Linked DNA regions of Bombyx mori. The main gene of each other region encodes a partner of the protein of the gene in region 2 in a complex. Links are inferred from orthologs where the notes say so. Each region holds a gene or a part of one and is shown on either strand. Other genes may lie near its edges.

Region 1 (3,687 bases), on a different chromosome or scaffold from region 2:
GCTGGTATTTGGGAGCCCCCGAACGGCTCTCTTCTGTATAGAGTCAAATGGAAGTAGCTGGTTTTTGGGAGCCCGGCCCAGAGGTCGGAGTAGTACTCCACACGAGGCCGGACCTGTGCTTTGTAGAGCGAGAGTCTTAAGCAAAAGTCGTAAGTTAACAAAATGTTCCATAAGGTACAACCTAATAAATAAACGATTAATTACAAATTGACGAACGGTAAAATATAAATACAGCGATAACGCGAATTGATACCACTTCCTTATTAAAGCAAATAATGAGACCTCACGTCTATAAGTGTAATTCGAGCCATATCACTTAACTTTATAGTATTTTTTTTAATTCAAAATCTGTAAGAATGTAATACAATTTATACATGGATAATAGAAAAAGATTGAACAACATTTGAGATTTATCATATAAATAAAAAATCTTTTAAACCTTAATTTTTATCATTACTAAAAATGGATTTGTTAAAGAATATTTACAAGATCATAATGCATTAATTGTTTTACATTTATACCGTAAACATTAGGATTAACTATCATTGTGATCCATAGTACAATACGCAAAATTACGGCACTTATTTATTGCATTGTAACTGGGATATAAAAACTACTATATTAATCTCATTAGCGTGTGTATGTCTTCGTATACCTACTCTTTTTAAAACCCAGAAATTTGTAAAAACTGGTATATAGTTCCAACAGTGTTTAAGTTTAATCGAGATGTGATATTCGTGGTAGTATTTTTAAAGGCTAATCTGTCGTATAGTGTCGATTGCAAATAAGGTATCGATTACAATTATCGATAGCTATTGATAGTCGATTTGGAGAGCTACACTAAAATGTAATCAAATCAAACGTTCTCTTGTGAATTAAAAATGGCGAGCCGTGCTGGTTCAGCTAGACGCGCTCCTGAAAATGAAGCGACGATCCAATATGTTCAGTGCGATGGACTGGTAAGTAAATTTAAAATTAAAGTTTAGATAGGTTCTCTGAGACGGACGTCAACTGTAGGTTTTAAATTAAAAACTTTGTGAAAGTTCGTGCCTCGACACGTCATGTATTTTTACCATTTAATTAATATATAGAAGTAAACATCGTCAATTAAGGTGGATTATTATGATCTGGAACATGATTCGTGTTGTATGATTTTAGGAGATCTTAGATTACAATAAAATAGGTTGCCGTTGCAATAATAAAGATAATTGTATAGGTTATGTTTTCAATTTTGTGCTCTCGTTTCTTTTTAAATAAATCGGGCAAACGTTGACAATTCACCAAACCTTGAATAATTCGTTATGTTAATTTCTATAGGATTCTATGAACCAAAAAACTTTCGATATAAAAAGAAAATAAAAGACTACAAAGGTTTTTTATTTCTGTTTACAACATATAAACGTTGTTGAGTCATTGACTGTTTTGGGACATTTGCCCTGAGCCCGGGGGTCATTGAAATAGGAGGATGATCTCACCTAACTGTACATCTAAAACATTAAATTTTCTCTGAACTATATAATTAGTGTTTTAAACTATGCTTCATTACAAAGTTTAGATCTTGATAGTATATGTGAAGTCATTTTTTGTTATATACTATACTACTATTTACTGATAATTTTATAGTTTCCTAACTGTAAATGATTGAGATTAGTTTTTGTTCTGATTGATTGCAAATAGCAAGCTGATTGATTTCCTACACATACACAGAAAGTTAATATAGCAATAATTTATTAGGGATGGGTAGGTATTAATTTGTTTTGTTAAACTTGTTACACATTAAAGTGTATTTTAACTTGCCTTGAATAATATCCTCTCTGAAGTTATTTAGTTGAAACATGCTTAAAGTAGTGGTAAAACAGTTTAATATGTGGTAATCAAACAAATCCTCATCGAACTAACTCAAGCATTTGAAATGACAGATCTGCTCCCACTTTTATAATATATTTGTGCTTTTTATTTTAGGCAGTGATGAAAATAGTGAAACACTGTCATGAAGAATCATGCAGCAACATGGAGGTGGCTCAGGGAGCTCTCCTTGGTTTGGTCGTTGAGAACCGTCTGGAGATTACCAACTGCTTCCCATTTCCAAAGCATGACGACACCATGGATGAGGAGGAATACCAGTTGGACATGATGAGGAGGCTTCGAAGAGTCAATGTTGATCATTTTCATGTTGGATGGTAATTAATATTGAAAATTGTTTTATAGTATGTCAAAATATGTCATACAATATTTTAAATTAGAACAGCAGAACTTTCTTTTTTCTTATACCTCATATCTTTCTTCAGGTACCAGAGTGCAGATGTAGGCAATTTTCTAAGCCTTTCGTTATTAGAGTCACAATATCACTATCAGACCTCTATTGAGGAGAGTGTTGTTGTGATTTACGATACAAAGAAATCAGCCAGAGGATTCTTGACTTTGAAGGCCTATCGTTTGACACCTCAGGTAATTAAGCTCTCATAACTATACACATTTTAAAGTGCTAATGTTGTTAATTGAGCTTTATGACAGAACTAATTTCTGAAGTTGAGCTATTTTATTTATTTATATTACGTATATTTAGTGAAGTTATCACTTGTTAATGCTAAGTGAATGGCAGAATCTATATTTTTGAGATATTTTAAATGTTTTTTATGGGGATACTATCTAAGTGGTCCATGCAACCTGCAGATATCACAACATGAGTGCATTAAGCGGTAGGCAGCGGCTTGGCTCTGCCCTTGGCATTGCTGAAGTCCATGGGCGATGGTAACCACTCACCATCAGGTGGGCCGTATGCTCGTCTGCCTACAAAGGCAATAAAAATAATAAAAAAAAATATATTTGATGTCTCACCATTAAACCAGAATGAATGTATGATTCCCAGCAAATATAAAGAGGATGGTAATGTATGTTCTTATACACATGTCTTAAGATGTAAGACTGTTCTCAATCCTTAAACACATTATTATTACGTGCAGAAATAATAGTAACTTGGACTCACAATATGCTCATCAACAAGCAAGTAAATTATTGTTGTTTTTTTTTTATATTTATATTGTGAAAACATTATGTATAGTTGGGTGTTCATGTATGAATAAGAATATATGTAAAATTGAGGTTAATACTTACTTTACAGGCTATTGCTATGTACAAGGAAGGCGATTACACTCCGGAAGCACTACGTAACCTGAAGATTGGCTATGAAAATCTATTCATTGAAGTGCCAATTGTTATCCGGAACTCTCCATTAACTAACATAATGATCTCTGAGCTCACCGAGATGATACCTGAAGAGGAAGGATCCAAGTTTTTGGATCTGGGTACTGCATCTGTTCTCGAAGGTTTGTTTAATTTTACTATGGTATACAATTATCAGAAAAGCTTTCAAGATTTAGGCTACATCTGACTACATCAATTATGGGTTGATTCCTTTGCTGCAATCTGAAGCTACTACTTTTCCCAGTAGTTGTTTCCTAACTGCTATATTAAACTTGTAATTTTTACTATGTGGAGGAATGGCAATAGACAATTTTAAGCAGGTGAGCTTTCACTATCATCTTGCTTATTAATTCTACTAAGAAAGTGTCCTCTTAAAGGGTACAGATAAACATCCATCCAATGTCATTAAAACTTCGATTCCCTTATGTTAATATGAGGTGGCTCTTAAGAGCCTGAAGATTATGTTTCTTCCTTTACTTAAAT
Region 2 (3,760 bases):
CTGCCTACAAGAGCAATAAATTTATATTCTTATATTTATATTTATATAAATTTATATTAATTCAAAATAGTTAAAAAATTTCATGATTGTCACATTTCCTCTATGATTGGATAAATATACATATTTTCCTAATTTTAAACAAATGTACATTTTTCAGAAGTCTCAGCTGGATGAGGACAGCCGCGTAGATTACGTGGTGTGCGACGACGGCGCCGCGCCGCGAATCAAGGGCCGCGCCGTCACTGCAGCCTGGCTGTGGAAATGTCATCAACAACGAAAACTGTGTCCAATATAACGACAGCTCAACTTGTGAATTCCTTTCATTAAATAACTGTCAGCTAACAACGCCTTTTCTTTCACAAATCTCAGTAAATGACCACCATTTTACTAAGATCCCATATCATCTCATTTCATTTAATTTCATTCTAGTTGATTAGGGTCAATTCCCACTGAAAGAGCAGCGGCCGGCAGCGTCTTTTTTAGGCAAAATATTACAAACTATTTTGAATCTTATCTACGTGATTAAAAAGTTCATAGTCATTTGAAGGCAAAGGAGGGGTAGCGTGACGTCGCGAGGCTGCACGAGCCTTCTACCGACTAGTCAAAAGAGGCGCCGCGCGGCTGATCGCGGCGCAGCTAGCTGACGTGCGGCCGACCGCGGTGCAGCTAACAGACTCGCGGCTGCGCGCGAGCGACCATTTCATACCCGCCCGCCCTGCCGCTTACGCATTTCGCGTCATTTTATTAGAGGGTATCAAGTTAGAACGTGCTACGCTCCGTGAGAAAAAAATGTACCCAAAATTTTCTTTTCCTTTTTCTTTCCGTTTTGTTTGTTACTTCTTGTTCTTCTTCTACAGCCAGTGCTATGATACATAAATCCAAATCCACCATATTTATTGCCACACAACTTTCCTTGAGTGAAGTAGATCGCACACTAGTTTTCAAAGCTACTACGCGGAGGTTCATTGCGGCGCCTCGGGATGCCGCGCTGCCTCTCGCGGCGCCGCACTGCCCCGCGCGGCGCCACACTGCCCCTTGCGGCGCCGCGCTCAATCACTTGCTCTTACGGCCGCTGCGCGCCGCTGCTCTTTCAGTGGGAATTGACCCTAATGTCTCAAATTAATCATCTTCATTTTATTTCATTTCACTCCATATTATCATTTTTCATAAAAATAAGACATGACTTAAAGGTCTTAATTACCAGTTCATAAAATCCCTAAAAAAATTAAAATTAGCAGAGATAATACCTACAATATTCTCTTGTACTCTGTGTTTCTGGGTTTGTAGTTTTGGTCGAATTAAAAATGGCTCTCAATATTAGTGTGAAGGTCCATCCTGTTGTTTTATTTCAAATTGTGGACGCATACGAACGTCGAAATGCAGATTCTCACAGAGTTATCGGCACCTTATTGGGTTCGTATTGATTTATAAATCATGCAATAACTATAAATTCAAAGGACATTAGTTGTCAACGTCATGTCGTGTACCAAATTTTATGAGTTGTTATTTAAAAGAAAAATCCCTAAATGCTAAATATGTACGTCAATTATCATTACACATTTCACTTTGGCTTTTCCACATCAACGTTATAGTTAATTTGATAAATTCCTTGGTCACATAAGCCAGGTGCAATACAAATGTGTAAAGGCGTTGTAAGGTTATGTTGTGCTGTTGCTGCAGGCACGAGCGACAAAGGAGTGGTGGAAGTAACCAACTGCTTCTGCGTGCCACACAAAGAACATGCCGATCAAGTCGAAGCGGAACTTAATTACGCGATGGATGTTTACGAGCTGAACAGAAGAGTCAATTCCTCTGAAAGTATTGTTGGTGAGCTATACCTGCATTATACTCAAATTCACATATGTAACAATACTCACAGACGCATACACACACAATTTACACTAATTATTATTATTATTATTATTATTATTAATGCTTTATTTCAGTTATTATTTTTTTTTAAAACCATAACATTTTGTTAGTAATAATTACTTATAATCTATGTTAGTAACTTAAAAATCTAACACATAACTATCATTATATTATACATTTTATACCATTATATATTATTATTTTTCTCCTTCCAAGTGCCTACTGCAAAGGCTATTGATCAGCAGTCCCTCGATCTTGCTCGATATGATTCTCAAAAGACTGTTGTCACTGTCACGAACTCGACGCAATAACGATGCACTTCTCTTCCGCATTATTGCAAAGAAGTCATCTGTGTGAGATGTCGCAAACATTGTGGATGCACTACAAAAGCGCGGCAGTGACAACATCATCCTAAACGCATTATTATATTGGACACGTAGGGCATTGTAAGCTCTCCGCGTGTATGTGGTCCACAGACTACTGGCGTAAAAATTCTGGCAATAAGCTTTAAAAATTGTAAGTTTGACATAGCTATCGCAACCAGTAAATCTGCGGGCCAGCATGTTGCATCTTACTATCAACTAATTGCCACATCATCATCATTTTCCTGCCCTTCTCCGAGTCACCTGGAGTCGGCGCAACATATTTTCTCCGTTCATACTCCTCTATCATAATACCATTTCTTCGCTCATTCCACTCTTACACATATTGTCCTTCATGCAATCCATCCATTTCTTCTTAGGTCTACCTCTTCCACTATAGCCTTCCACATTTATAGTTAACACTCTTGACAATTGCCAATTAATAAAATTGGATCTTTTACTTCCCTTAGCATACCTTATACATTTAAATTCAAACTCATTTGTATTATTTTTAGGTTGGTGGGCGACTGGCAATGAAGTAACCAACCACTCCTCTGTTATACACGAGTATTATTCCCGTGAATGCCGTGAGCCTGTCCATGTTACTCTGGACACTTCGCTGGCTGGAGGTCGAATGGGTTTACGTGCATATGTTTGTGTACCATTGGGAGTGCCAAATGGAAAGCAAGGTTGCATGTTCACTCCTGTAGATGTCACTCTCACATGCTATGAACCTGAGGTAATTATTGAAGATTTTGTACTGTATTCATTGTCAATATTTGCTTTATTAAGCAAAAATATGGTGAAAACTGCTGAAAGGCCATTAAACTCTGACTGTTACAGGTTTAAATTTGTGTTCAAAAGGCTTCAAAATCATGAGCTGTTTTAGACTCAAATTTGTTAATATTTCAATATCCATGAACTCCAAAACTGCATTGTGTGGAATCACATATTGTTATATTGTTAAATAAAAAAAGGGTGCGTGTACTTATGTGCGCGCGTAAGAAGTTATACTTAATTTTTATTAATTTTTTTTTTTTAATAATCATAAATTAATAATAAATATTTAATGTTAATAATTTAATAATGTTTAGTATGAATTACAGTCAAACCTGGATAAGCGAGAGTTAAAGGGAGCACAATCTCATTCTCGCTTATAGAGGTTTCTCACTAACCCGAGTTTCTCCCTAATGAACCCTCTGAATGTCATTTCGCGATTTTCCAGATTCAAACGCATTCACTATTTTAAGTTTATCACTTAATGACAGTACTTTAATTTTCCGTTTTGACATGATGCAGAACAGATTTTTCCCTCGCGATTGATTAACGATAAACTGAGTAAGTCTGACAAACAGGACGGTACACCGGGACACGTGTCCATTCGAAAAGAATGCGATAAATTAACAACGTTATTTAGTTCCACGAAATAGAATAGGTTCTATATTGACGAGAAAACAATACAAAAACAATGTTAAAAAGTTCCATGAAATTTAAGAATGGGTCATAAAATAGCAGATGTTAAATTT

The links. Proteins that work in one complex are often made in the same cells at the same time.
Region 1: eukaryotic translation initiation factor 3 subunit F (region 2) and eIF3h share a complex: the UniProt entries of both Drosophila melanogaster proteins name them as parts of the eukaryotic translation initiation factor 3 (eIF-3) complex. The link is inferred for Bombyx mori from reciprocal best matches to the Drosophila melanogaster genes eIF3f1 and eIF3h.

What each region holds. Positions count from the first base shown.
Region 1 is NC_085110.1:3,930,862-3,934,548, forward strand, and holds the start of eIF3h (eukaryotic translation initiation factor 3 subunit H), read left to right. Parts: upstream 1-865; 5' UTR 866-881; coding exon 882-959; intron 960-1,962; coding exon 1,963-2,180; intron 2,181-2,288; coding exon 2,289-2,448; intron 2,449-3,121; coding exon 3,122-3,326; intron 3,327-3,687. UniProt on the Drosophila melanogaster protein: Component of the eukaryotic translation initiation factor 3 (eIF-3) complex, which is involved in protein synthesis of a specialized repertoire of mRNAs and, together with other initiation factors, stimulates binding of mRNA and methionyl-tRNAi to the 40S ribosome.
Region 2 is NC_085124.1:491,154-494,913, reverse strand, and holds the start of eukaryotic translation initiation factor 3 subunit F, read left to right. Parts: upstream 1-1,249; 5' UTR 1,250-1,304; coding exon 1,305-1,413; intron 1,414-1,680; coding exon 1,681-1,827; intron 1,828-2,749; coding exon 2,750-2,973; intron 2,974-3,760. Other genes in the region: DNA repair protein XRCC1, read left to right, coding at 158-295. UniProt on the Drosophila melanogaster protein: Component of the eukaryotic translation initiation factor 3 (eIF-3) complex, which is involved in protein synthesis of a specialized repertoire of mRNAs and, together with other initiation factors, stimulates binding of mRNA and methionyl-tRNAi to the 40S ribosome.